2 linked regions of the Mytilus edulis genome follow. The protein of the gene in region 1 purifies or fractionates together with the protein of each later gene. This does not show direct contact. Links are inferred from orthologs where the notes say so. Each region holds a gene or a part of one and is shown on either strand. Other genes may lie near its edges.

Region 1 (6,977 bases):
CTGGTTAAGTTTGTTTCTTAGATACTTTTTGCAATAGGTCGCCTATATTTAAAGCATATTAGGAGTGTGGAATTACGACCAATGAACCATGAAAATGAGGTCAGATGAATCCTGACAGACAGGCATGTGCACCTTCCTTAAACCAAACTAGAAATACATATACACATTACAATCATTCCTTAAATATAGTTGACCTACTGAACATCGTGATATATCGAGAGAAAAAAAACTAAACCAGGAAAACTTAATATTGAACAATGAACCATTAAAATGAGGTCAAGGTCAGACAGACATGTACACTTACAATTGTTAGGTATACATGTATTTCTAGTTTGGTTTATCTGACCTTGTCGATCTCATTTTCTTGGATTATGTTAAGTTTATGTGATAGTTGTAATAAACAGGGCCGTAACTACATTGAGGCAAATGAGACAAATGCCTCATGTTAGAAATTTAAAAAAAAAAACTTAAACAAAAGATTGTCTTAATATCAAATTAATTTCATAGAAAGTGTCTAGCAAGAAGCAAGTTCTCTTCACTCTCTGGTGTCTGCCCCTGCATGTTTTTCGTGATCCATGTTTCTATTTTACTTTTAGTTTTCAGAGTTGATAGTCTATTGTTTGTACTTCTATGTGACTGTCCCGGGTTTGTCATTTGTTCATTTATTGTCCTACTTTGTGACTATAGCTGAGTGTTGATTTTCATTTGTAAACGTGTGGTTTTGCAATGTTTCATGCCCACCGATGTCCAGATATTGTGCGAGAAAATATTTTAAGAAGATACGATGCTACAAGACACAGAAAAAAATTGTCGTTTCTGCATGGAGAATTGAACTTGATATCAAAGAGTACAAAACTGGTTTTTTTTTTAGGGTAGATAAAACTAGAAAGCTGACATGGTTTAAATTAAAGTAAGGTCACCAATTTCCCGGATTCAAATAATTTGGTAAAAAAAAACAATAGTGTATTGCCATATGACCTAGCTTTTCTATTGAAGGGTTTAACTTGCATTAAGTCATGTTCAGACCCTCTAACAGAAAATAAAGGAATATGGAGTAAATGTGCACGAAACATAATCGCACAGAGTCAATGCATAGAAAAAATTCTAAAAGACAATGGTCAAAGTTGCTGGAGGGTCTTCAACAATAAAAGAACCAATAATACCGTAAAACAGGGTCAAGATGGTCCCTATTGTCGACTGAAGCAGTACTACTACTTAAAGTACAATCTGTCACTTTATTTAAATCTAGTCATAAAAAAATAACTATAGTCCAAGCACAATACAATTAAGACAAGAACAGACAAGACAGGTCCTGTATTAATGATTATGAGAATTACGATTTTTGCTTTATCCTACATATCGGTCTTTTAATGTTTTCCATAAAACCTAAAAGTCTTAAATCACAATGAATCTATGTTCTTGCTTTGAGACCAGATTATTGTCGAAAAATAGCAAACAATTAATTGCGTTTTAATGTCGGAAAGAATCCGGGAAACTTTCAGAATGCACGATTTTTCGTAATTTTTCTCAGAGCTTCTGGGGGCCTTGAGCGGCCCCCAAACCCCTCGTCAATTTTTTTTTTATATATATAATTTTTAAATATATTTTGCCTCACTATTAGATGAGGCTAGTTACGGCCCTGATAAATCTTTATATTTAGGGATACCAACATAAAATCAATGGTTAGCTAAAAGGGCAAGACATTTCACCGTGTGCAATCTTGTTTTTAATTCCTAACATATAAGAATAAACTAAGAATTGATTTATTTACTTATAGACTTCAATCAGTACATAGAACGTGCTAGATCAAGGATAACCATTTACAGGAACAGTGTAATAATATTAGATTAATGCTATCAAAGTCCAATCCACTATTAGCCATGCGTAAAAGACATTTTCATTGTAATGAGACTATAAACCAAATAAACTTAACCTGCACAGAGATTAAAAATATTTCTACTATGAAATTTAAAGGTGGCAATATACCAAATGATAGGAACTCATTCTGATGTTTTACCCATAAGATATCTCAGAAAATCACCTTATCACAAAAAAAAAATGTATCATAAAAAATAAAAAAATAACCACTTAACCAACAACTACCTTCAAATTATTCTACAAATCATAGATATCTAAAGAACATGTTTCGCTCACCTTGGTCTATTACATATTTAACAAAAGAAACTCTCCAACATTTTGAACGAAAATAGAATTCAAGACAAAAATCACCGTTTTATTGATATTGAGCTGCTACTCATTTAATCTGTTTAGTTTCTCTCTATTTTCTTCAGTTTCTGTTTAAAACACAACACAGGGCAAACAAATGATAAAAATTGTCATTAAAGGACGATCACTTCAATAAGGAGTCATCAGACATTTTTTTTCAATTTTTCAATTATAAATTTTGTCTCACAGATCATTTTTGCTTATGTAAGATTCTTTCTATCTAAATCTTATTTTTAAGTTATAAGGCAAAAATGCAAAAAATGGTAAACTCATGCAATAGCCTTCAAAGGGCAATAACTCTAAGCTAGAGTCGACTGACGATTTTGACCATTATATTCAAATTATTTGTAGCACTGTCTTATTGATCATTTTCGCAATTTAATGTTTATCTGTATCTTATATAATAGCTTTCAAGATAATATGCAGAAATGTAGTCTAGAGAACAAAGGTGGTAAAATTTGTTATGTAAGGGCATTAACTCTTATACAAGTCACCTGACACTTTAGACGTATACTAACAATTGGTAGTGATAAATAAACATTCTAGGCATGTTTGCCCCTGTCAGATTTTCTCTATTCATATAAACAATTTTCATAATATCAGACAAAATTCCATTCTACTTCCTATTCACTATTTTTGGCCTTGTCAGCCATATATATTGGTTGGCAGGCAAAGTCTTTAGACACATTTTCTTAAAACAAGATACCCCAATGTTTAATGTGGTCGAGTTTGGTTAAATTTATTAGTCCAGCAGTTTCAGAGAAGAAAATTTTTGTAAAAGTTATTAGTTGATGACCGATGATGGACGCTAGGTGATGAAAAACAAGAGTCACATCCTGTGATTGTATGCCTAACCTGGTGAGAGAGAAACAGTACACCATCAGTTTATAGCTAATGTTTACCTTCATTTGCGCACTCTTCAGTTACTCTTTTTGTGCTGCAAATAATGTTTGCAATAAATATATTAAACCTGGCTACTTTTTTATTTAAGAGCCAATTTTAACTTTAAAAGCTTTTCTTACAGGGACAATAACACCAAAACAGGTGTAAAAAATATCAGAGTAGACAGATCATATTAGGCCGATAATTTTTGCAGCTGTCAAAATAACAGCAAAAAAAAAAAAAAAAAAATGAAAAATGTGTATGAGGCAGGGGAATTTCTCAAAATTGGTTTACTGTTTTTTTTTCTCTCTCAAATTTTTGTGGTTAATAGATCTTGTTGTGCTGATTTATATTTTTTTTCATAATTTTACACCTTTAATCTAGCTCCTGCATTTCTCAAGATAATACTAATAGAATGCAACTAAAAAAAAAAATCTCAGACATTTTTTTTCTTAAATCTGAGACTACTTTAACAGTGTTATAGTAGTCTCAGCTTAAATCTAACTGTTGTTGCAGATTATTTTTTACTTATTTTAAAAATTATTTCCTTAAAAAAAACCTTTACAAATAGCGTTAGAAAATATCCTGCTCTTTATTATACAGTTAACATTTTAACAATATTTTGGTTAAAACAGAGAAATATAATAAATTATTGACATTATTGTATATATGAGGGTCTGGATGGGGGGGTCTGTTATTCTGTATTTAAACTTTTAATTTTCCCCCCTTTTTTCTCTATTCTTCAAAAAATTAACCCCTTTTTTCTCTAATCTTCATTTTCTAAGGGCATTTATATTCTTTAATCATTTAACCCCATCCACTCTGATTAAAACAAACGTTACCTTCCCAATTCGGATATTTTCAAGGTCTTATCCGGATTGCACTCTAAAACTGCAACAGTTTGATCATTTCCTGTTAAAAATATGGGCATTGATGAAAAGTTGAAAAGATATGAAAAACTTGACTTTCTTGGAGAAGGACAGGTAGAATTGATGGCAAAATAATATTTTTGAAACGTAAATCAGGGGATTGTATGCCATCTCTACCCAAACTAAATTTTTTTCAATAGCATTCAGGAAAAAGATTTTTTAAAAATTCATGTTTTTCCTACCATGTATTTTCTGAATATAAATAAGGATTATGACAATTTCTTTAGCCATGTCAAATTTTCAAAATGCAATATTCTAATGCAACAACGTTTGTAACGTTCATTTTGATTGGATAACGTCACTTTTTTACATGGCATCAATTGACAATTGATGCTATGGGACGTACGCCCAAGTGCAGACGACATATGACAGATTTCCCGACGGCATCAATTGGGGATTTGATGGTCGCAAATACTCATTTACTGTCTTCGCTAACGCGTTGCCAGTAAACTTAATTTGCGACCATCAAATCCCCAATTGATGCCGTCGGAGCTTAAAATACAATACAGTTATCTCCTAAGTATCAAAACAACATAAACAACGAATAATAGAGCTGAGCCATTTTGTACATATACCAAAGGGAAACTTTATGCAAAGCATTATTTATAGGTCATTTCTGGAATCATGTCTTTCACCGGAAAAGATCCTCAATTTCCCATGCCTTTATAACGTCATTTACAAGATAGAAGGCACGCCTGTATCCCTGCTATATTAAAAGTTTCCAGCACATTCACAATTGTCATTCTGTAAGATACTTAGATAGTAAAGAAATAATGTTCTGTAAGTACATAATCGTGATTGCCATATGAATGAGGGAGGGTAACCATCCTTTTAGTTTTTAATTTCCCAAATATTTTGTGCAGTATAAAGTAAAACTTTTTCATCCGTTTACTCAACATGTGTTTGAAATTTCTATGCATGCATTTTTGTCATGTGGTGATGAAGTCACATGACAGATTCGTCTGAAAACCGTATAATGGAACTGGCCTATTGTTTCATCATGTTCATTGCATTTAATAGAAAAGGGTGATTTTGTGGCAAATAAAACCAAGATTTTTTAGAAATCCACAGACTTTAAAAAAAAAGATATTTTTGTTATAAAATTTTACTGGTTTTTCTATGTGTTAGCATTTATTGATTACAAAAGTCCTAAACAACCTTAAAATACAACAAAAAACTTAGTGTACTTGAATTGGTCCATATTTTTACTTGTTGTAACCAGTATCTAATTTTATAATCTTGTTTAAAGAAAATCATTGCTAGCTCTGCATGCAATAACCCTATATCTATCAAGCACCCAATTGCAAGATACATGTATGAGAGACCAAGGGATCAACACAAGGTTAGAAAATCCTTAAGTATTTTTGTTGTTAATAAATTAAAGAGACATCTAATTAAAAAAAAAATATGTCGACTAATTTATCGAAGTAGTCATCAACAGTCAACAACATGAATATCATTTGTCATCAATGACATCATACCATTTCTATCACATTTGTAGAATGTAAAGGACTGGTTACATGTATGTAACCTGAAGCAGGTGGGAGGAAATTAAGTGTGGCCTTGAACTTTTTTTAGAATGGAACAGGGGTGTTGTCAAATTTTTATACTGAACAGATGGGGGAGGCATCGATTTTTTTTTGTACAAGATTTGAAAAGTTCTGGATGAGGTTTCATCATGGTCATTTCTGTATTCTTTAATTTTTCATGTTATATTTTCTATAATTATAAATTTTTCCTGTTATTCTCTATTCTTTATATTTTAAACACCCCATTATTCGATATTATTTGTATTTTTTAGTAGAAGTGGGTAACACTTACTTCAGGTGTCATACATTCATGACATTAATATCTCTTTTGTCAATTATTTCTTTTTAATTTTTGCCATGATTTGACTGGTTTTTTTTTATTTCAGTTTGCTACAGTATATAAGGCTAAAGACCTTGAGACGGGAAATATTGTTGCTGTGAAAAAGGTCAGTTGTACATACAGGTATCAACACATTTAATACATATATTAAAAAACATATAAATGGTTCTACATTTTTTTGTACTTCGTAAAATATGAGACAAGATAATCAAAATGACATAACTATAAAAATTGACTACAGTCTTGCATATGTCCGTCCATTTTTTGAGAAGCCTTATTATTAATAGTAGATAATCTAAAAAAGAAATAAAAACAATAACTTACTGATAAAAATTAATATTCCTATCATATGAATCAACCTCTATATTGTATTGATATATAATAAAATCTCCATTTAGATGTGTGAAACATTGAATTAAATTAAATTTTTATTTCCTAAAAGATAAAGCTCTGTGAAATACATTTCAGATAAAAGTTGGTACTAGAGAGGAAGCTGCAGATGGTATAAACAGGACAGCATTGAGAGAAATTAAACTTCTACAAGAACTTAAACATCACCATATTATAGGTGTAAGAAGTGAAACTTTCATATTTACCTCTATGGATATGTATATATGTAATTTTTAAATTACAAATCATCCTGCATATGCATTCAACATTTATCATATTTAGCAAACAGCAATCAATCAATTGACTATTTCTGTTCTTTTTTTATTTTTACGAAATATGAATTAAAAAAAAATATATACTGTATATGTAAATGAGACAAAAAAATCTGAAAAGACAACTAGATTCTTTTATAACAATGATCAACAATGAAATATCATTTCTTTAAATTAATACATTGCTTTTTTTTGTGGATGCTTTTGATTATTGTATTTTGTATTGATTTCAGTTACAAGATGTATTTGGACATAGATCAAACGTCAGTTTAGTGTTTGATTTTATGGATACTGATTTAGAGGTATGATCAATTAAGGGTTATGTTTATGTGTTCTTATTTGTTTTATTAATACAAAATATAGCAAAAAGGCAACTGTTTCTACTAATATTTTATGAGAGCAGTTTGCA
Region 2 (7,998 bases), on another chromosome or scaffold:
TCCTTTGGTTTTTGTCTAAATAGAACCTCAGCTGGCATATGGAAAGACACACACATCATTTCTTTTTTAGGGGCTACATTCCTAACATTATGAATGGTAAAGTTATCTGGTAATGGTGATCCTATTGTACTCTCTATTCTCTGTTTCACATCAGCTTCAGGTGACTCACTCTTTGTAAAACAATACACATACATATAAGGAAGTAAATCAGATGATGTAGGTTTTATGTTGTCATCAATATCAACAAATAATGACTGAAATGTATCAGTAAACTCAATACCAAGAGCTGGTAAATTCATAACAACTTTCAAATTTGTCTTATTTTCTGTTTCCTTATAATTTTTCCATCTTTTTAAAATGTCAGGTTTGACTATTGTCTTGATGAATTCTCTCCCATCTAAATTACTGCAGTTTACTTCTGTCTTAATTTTGTTTAGTTTGATGTTTTTACAAAGACTTTCATAAGAACTAGGATTCAAGTCATTAGCAAAAACAATAGCTTTCCTTGATTTAGCAGCAGGTATAGCAAATGGTCCTACACCAGCAAAAACATCATAGACAATATCTCCTTCTTTTATTTCTTTAACAACCCTTTGATGCTCAGAACCTACAAGTAAACAACATATAAAACATATTGGTTATCATCAAAATTTCATGAGGGTGCATTTTATTAGAGAGGGAGTCGGTTAAGTAAAGATTAAAATATGTGATAAGAGTGTCAATGAGACATTTCTCCATCCTAGTCACAATGTGTAAAAAGTAAACCATTATAGGTCAAAGTATGTCCTTCAACACAAAACAGCAAGCTATAAAGGTCTAGTGTAAAACAAATTCAAACAGGAAAACTAACAATTTAATATTTTAATCTAAAAAAAAATATTAAAAAAATGAGAAAGACTTATGAACTACATCAACATACCACCACTGAGCAACAGCTGGTTCCTGACTAAGGACAGGTGCCAATAAATGCAGTGGGTATAAATGTTTCAACAGACACCAACCTATATAACATGCTCAATTACTGTTTGATGGATTTATAGGATATCCAGTCAGTGATGTCACAATTACTGCTTTCATATAATTTATTTAAACTGCCTTATAACATGTAAATAACAGATTACAACCATATGAAAAGTTTAACAAGAAAGGAGATAACTGACAATCAGACTAAGGGGAGATAATTCAACCTTTAAAGAGATATCTGAAACCGACAAATTCACATTTGAATGTCACTTTGGTAACTTTCACCTATCTTTTGCAAGAAAATATAACTCACATTATCAAGTTTATAAAATTATTTGTACAAGTTATACTTCTCACTTAACAACAGCAACAATACTTTATTTTAGAGAATATCATGGTTTAATAGTTTCCCAGAGGCCCTTATCATACATGTACTAAACATAAGCCTTGTGAATGATCAGTCTGGTTATCTATGCAAATTGAATTTAAATTGTCATTCAGCTATTTTTTATTACATCATATTTGTACATTGCAACTGTATATAAAAAAAATAGATATATCATCTGTAAGTAAGCTGCATGCCAAAACATGTCGCTGGTACAACCATAAATTATGCATGGAAATGTAACAAATAAAAAATCATAAAACTTACTCAATCTGGGATTCCAATATACTTTTGAGAAGTCAAACTCAAATGTAAATCCATGTTCTTTTGCTTGAGCCATCATATTGTCTTCCCCAGCTATTAATTCCATTTTAAAATTACGGAAAGTATTATCTATTTGACCAGTTTTGTTTACTACTGTTTTCACTGAAGGGTTTTTATCCATTAAAACCTGGCCTGCAATAGAAATTGAAGAAAGATCAACATACTGATACAAGGTAAGTAACATAACATGTACAAGTATATAACATATCAAATTTCTGTTTAGGTAATGTAGTAAATGCTTTTCTATCTCAGAATTTGATTTTTTTCACCAGAACACAGGAGAATGCATATGCATGTGCTGTTAGGTTTAAGAGTATAAATGGAGTTAGATACTGTAAATTCAGAAATTATTGCAAGGTTTTCATTATTGTAAAATAAAATTGATGGTACTAATTTTCTTGCACCAGATGCGCATTTCGACAATACATGTCTCTTCAGTGATGCTCGTGGCCAAAATATTTGAAATCCAAAGCTTATATAAAAGATGAAGAGCTATTATAATCCAAAAGGTCAAAAAAGTATAGCCAAATCCGTGAAAGGAATCAGAGCTTTGCATGAGGGAGATTCATTCCTTAATTTATAATAATTTTTAATATTTTGTAACAGGAAATTTTAATAACACATAAAATCCGTATTTTCATGCCAGTACCGAAGTACTGGCTACTGGGCTGGTGATACCCTCGGGGACTAATAGTCCACCAGCAGAGGCATCGACCCAGTGGTAGTAATAAAATTGACGGTACTAATTTTCTTGCACCAGATGCGCATTTCGACAATACATGTCTCTTCAGTGATGCTCGTGGCCAAAATATTTGAAATCCAAAGCTTATATAAAAGATGAAGAGCTATTATAATCCAAAAGGTCAAAAAAGTATAGCCAAATCCGTGAAAGGAATCAGAGCTTTGCATGAGGGAGATTCATTCCTTAATTTATAATAATTTTTAATATTTTGTAACAGGAAATTTTAATAACACATAAAATCCGTATTTTCATGCCAGTACCGAAGTACTGGCTACTGGGCTGGTGATACCCTCGGGGACTAATAGTCCACCAGCAGAGGCATCGATTTCTATTTACTTATACTTAAGTTATTATTATCCGGAAACCATATGTCTTCGGACGACGACAACGTGATACCAATATACGACCCAAAAATTTTTCAATTTTTGTGGTCGTATAAAAATCCCAATAATAACTGCAAGCAATAATTTCTGAATTTACAGTATACATTTTCTGGAGAAAAAAAATAATTACTGGACTCTCCAATACAGTTCTTACTTCACATGAATAAAAGAAACTGATCTTGTCTACATGTAGTTTAACACCGATTAAATCAGACATTAACCCATAAACTAAACATTTTAAAATTTAATAAAAAGACAGTTAGAGTTCAAAATACAGCTTTTAATAAAAGATTACTGTCTATATACTATACAATATATCTACAAATTCAAAATGTACATTAATCCTTGCCTAATTAATCATGCGTTAATTGACTTTAACTGTTTAAACATAAAAAGAGTCTCCAAGTAAATTAAAGCAAACAATTTTCACAAACTTTTTTTCAAGTCTTAAGCTTTCTTTTTATCTACAACAATGTAATTGAAACTGGTTGAAATATTTACAAACTTTGTAGTTATACTATTGTAATTGTATAACTGCTACATGTATGTTTTGGGGAGTTTAATATATATTTACCAATTTACTCTTATTCTAATTAACTAAAATGTAGTTTATTTCATTTTTTTCGTGTACAAAAAACATTAGAAGGGATGATGGAAATAACTAAAAATATTTGACAATAGCGAGTACAACAGATCACCAACTCCTCATGTAATAAAAAGAAGTGTAAACATGGTAAACAAAAACAAACAACATGGTCAAATTTATTTCATCTGACATTGTGCAAATGTGTATTTTTTTAATTACAGTACTCACGACCTTATTTCATGGAAAGTTGTCAATTTTTAAGTTAAGAAAGAAATAACTTTATTAGTAATAGCAGATTAATACATTTTTTACTAAAATTAGCTACCATGTAGATTTCAATATAAAAAAAGTATTGGACAAGGACACAGACACTTGTCTTTGTAAAAAAAAATTATACCAACTGTATATTGTATCTGTGTAAAGGTACATTAATACATTTGAATATGCATGCACAATGCATTTGTTCTAAAATGTGAATGCAATGTCATTTAGTGATTGACATGCATTATGATTGTACATGAAGTAATTATTACAAACCAACATTTTCTCTAACTTATATTACTAAACTAACAGTTTTCCCACAACTGCTTTAAAAGTTATCATTACCTATAATATGTTTATATTGGAGGACTTCGTCTTTTAAATTAAGATGGGCTATATGCCCTATAATGGAAAATCCAGAGACATTTGTTTTTACGATAGCTGGAATAATTTCTGAAGCTGTCCAATTTTCATAGCACAACTCTGTATCATACTTCTGAAAACTTGTCAAGTCTACGTCGGCTTCATTGCACATTTGTTTTTCTTCATTGCTAAAATCGTCTAGTGACTTGTATTTCAATGGATTGAGAAGAAATAGCTTGTGTGATTTAAAATCAGGATCAAAGTTTTCAAGATCTGCTATGGGTTTCAGTTTTGGCATCCTCAGCATTGATAACTTCATACATTTACTCATTTGTTTTATTGCTTTAATTGGTACTTTAACGCCTGGAATTTTACAAGTCCTTTTGAAGGCAGATTTGTCTAAAACTTTCATTCCTATAACATGTTTAGGGGGACACAATTCTGACACCTCAGATTCAGAGTCAATGTTATCCATTTTAAATTTTAAATTGTTGAAAATATCATAGAAATTTGATGAAATGGCCTGTAAATTAATCAGAGGTATTCTATCAAAAAACTTGTATCTTGCAACTTGGAGAAATTTATGTCCATTTGTTTCAGTTCTTACAACTACAAGTCTTTTGGAATCTATAGATGATAATCTCGGAATACATCGATGAAAAAGCTGTTTAATGAACATGAATGAAATTATTTGGTAATGAACTTTTCAAAGATAAGGACGTTTTGTCATTTCTGCATCGAGAAACGTGCAAAAATATCAACAGGAAGTTGATACTCTTTGGTCCTCTTTACTAAAGAGTGGGAGAGTTTACTAATAGGTAATAATAATACATTGCCTATTTGTAGACAAATATCTTGTTACTCCTAGTTAAATTTCATATAACTAAAATCGTTCAAAATCAATTAGTTAAATTTTATATGAAATAGCATCAAACTCAATGATATAGATCATATTTTAAAGTCTATAAAAATAGTCTCAATGATGTCTCCTTAGAATTATCTCCCTTGTATCTCAGCATGGATGATCAAGGGTGTCCAAGATGTAAAACAACTAAATACAGAAATCCTTCATTGAAATTGCTTGTTAATATCTGTGGACACTCATTGTATGTTGTACATAATGAAATTAATCCTTATGATATAAAATCCATACTTCAATGAAATTGAGTCAATAATGAAATATAAACTAAAAAGTCTAAAAGTTAAAATTTTTATTAAGATACAACTTACAAGCTTACCCAAGTTTCAGTTACAGGGTGTATTTACAATTAAGATTAAAGTGATCACAACTTGAGCTCACACTGACCTTAATGACTGGCAAAGTTGATAGATCTGTGAAAACCTAGAAAGATTTTAAAAAATAAGAGAGAGAGATCTAGAGGGAGATAGATGATATGAAGGGTACTTCTATAGTAGTGTCTGCACGACCCCACATGAGTGATGAGTTAACAAATTGGCCTTCTTAGGTTATGTGTACCCACATCTGGTTTTATAATACAATGTCATTGGATCTGGAAACTGAATCATTAAAACTATAGTATCAGTATTGGCCTGTAAAAGAAAACAAAAAACATTATAAAAATTAGAAACTAAATGCAAAAGAATAAAATTATTTTTAACTTGAAAAAAAAAATATACAAGAACTCTAGTGTGAAATAATTTTATAGTAAAATGCAGATCAGAAACTAAAACTAAAAAAAAATTAATAATAATATAAAAATGTGGTGTGATTGTCAAAGAGACAACTTTCCACAAAATTCAAATGAAGTTGATGTAAGCAATTATAGACAATCTTAGGAACTGTTTACAGTTGAAATACTACATTTGTAGACTATAAATTGTTAATTAAAGCTGGTAATACATGCATGTGAATTAAAAAAAAATTCATGTACTATGTACTTCAGATGTACTAAACTTCTGAGAGCATATAGTAAAGCCAATCTTAAGTCTTCTTCAAATACATAAAAATATTTGATCCTATTCTGTAAAACAGATGTTAGAGTTGTATAGAACAATATTTGACTATTTACCTATCTATTTTAGATGTGAAAGCTGTGTAGACTTGCTCTTCATTAAAGGTTCTGGAGCTTGTCCTGAATGTGGTACAGCATTACGAAGAAGCAATTTTAGACTACAACTCTTTGAAGATCCTTATATAGAAAAGGAAGTAGACATTCGAAAAAAGATTTTGAGAGAGTATGTTTAAATTGTATATGATCATATAATAGATCAGAACTTAACGCACCAGTCAAAGTGAGCCAGAATCTCCATCTTGGATTCCAAATTCAGCTTTAAAATAGGGCAGTCAGACCCTTATCGGGACTCTGGGATCTGGTGTTTTCAAACGCAGTATTTTGGAATTGATCCTTCATTGTCTTTACATGATCAGGGAATTCTTTTTTCGAATTTCAGGATGTCTGGATTTAAATTTCTTTAAATTTGGGACCTCTGGATTTCATGTTTTAAAGCCTGGGATTTCAGGATCCAACCCCCCTCTTAAAAGTACCTTAAAATGAAGATTGTTTTGCCTTAGATAATCAGTAAAATTAACATATGTGGCTTTGAGATTTTAACAATATCCCAACCAAGATTCTATTTTCTTTTGCAATCTGAAATACAAATAATCAATTCCAATTTTCAGTTAAAAAAACAATTCCTTCATTAAACTATGTTCAAATTAAGAAATAATTCATGGATTCTAATAGGACAAATACGGTCATTAAAATACTGAAGCTAGGGGTGGTTTGGTGTGTGTGTGGTTGATCTTTTTTACTCCCTGTTAGATAAAGCTCAAATATCTTTAAAAATCCGTAGCTTGCATGGGTTATTTCGTAAATAACCGCTAGAAAAAAAAATGTTAAATCTTCTAATTCTCAAACCCAACATTTGCCATTTTTAATTTACATGATTTTCCCGTAAGCTTCCGTCAAATCCAAAGTTGGTATTTCGTTGACTTACTGAAATTAGTAAATATGCAAATAATGCAACAGAATAGAAAATAAAACAAAAACTAACTCAAAAATCAGTTTTAATACAATATCATACGAAGTTCGATGGTTCACGTAACAGAAAACTTTCAACTTTAGCGGTTTCATTTGTATGACGTCATGTTTTGAAATGACTTAAATGCGCCAAAAAATTAATAGACTTTTATTTTGTTGATTTCTCCGAACTCTTCTGCATTACTGCTTTATATTATGCATCCGAATAAGAATAACAGTTATTTTGACTTTTTTAATTGCACTTTTTAAATCAATAAAATCGGCAAAGGGTCTGCAAATAGGTTCCAATACATGTAGATTTACGTGGGAAGTATATTGTAACAGCCATTATTATGTATCGAGAATTTTATCACAGTGTTGTTTACAAAGCGAAAGAAGCAGGTCATGTTAGAATAATTCTTTTCTTAAATATACGACACATTTATTGCAGTATCATCCTATTCCCTTTCTAGTCACCTGATTGTTTATTAATAATGCACTGAGGTAAGATTTGTCCTCAACATTAAAAAAAAAAAGACAGAAAAGAAGAGAGATTTATGGTTCTATTACATGAATCTGTTACATATGCTTGTACATTTATATTCAAAGATTAGATAATTGCAGGATGTTTAGATTAATATTCTTATTATTTTATATTGTAAAAGGTAAATAATGAAAGCTCTAATTAGTTAAACTGTACTACTAAAATAGTTGTACCTTTCTCAGTTACCATTGAAGACAGTCATGACAGAAGATGGTGTTAACTTTAATAATTAGGAGATAACTGTATTGTATTTTAAGCTTCAATTGCATCAATTGGTGATTTGATAAAATATGAATATATTTATCAAAGATTAACAGAATAAACGGGTATTTGCGACAATAAAAGCACCAATTGATGCCATCAGAGCTCAAAATACAATATTGTTATCTCCATTCTAATAAAACTGATAGAAAACAACATTAAAACATATATTTAAACTCTGACATATGTCATCTGCACGTACGTT

The links.
Region 2: the proteins of cyclin-dependent kinase 7-like (region 1) and CDK-activating kinase assembly factor MAT1-like purify together in Drosophila melanogaster (affinity purification with western blotting; 3 studies listed by BioGRID, with this or other methods). This does not show direct contact. The link is inferred for Mytilus edulis from reciprocal best matches to the Drosophila melanogaster genes Cdk7 and Mat1.

The regions. Positions count from the first base shown.
Region 1 is NC_092344.1:104,148,613-104,155,589, forward strand, and holds the start of cyclin-dependent kinase 7-like, read left to right. Parts: upstream 1-3,966; 5' UTR 3,967-4,031; coding exon 4,032-4,091; intron 4,092-5,952; coding exon 5,953-6,012; intron 6,013-6,374; coding exon 6,375-6,476; intron 6,477-6,801; coding exon 6,802-6,870; intron 6,871-6,977.
Region 2 is NC_092346.1:61,994,012-62,002,009, forward strand, and holds the start of CDK-activating kinase assembly factor MAT1-like, read left to right. Parts: upstream 1-4,981; 5' UTR 4,982-5,024; coding exon 5,025-5,113; intron 5,114-6,050; coding exon 6,051-6,203; intron 6,204-7,998. Other genes in the region: tRNA (guanine(37)-N(1))-methyltransferase-like, read right to left, coding at 1-607, 1,616-1,804, 3,990-4,686.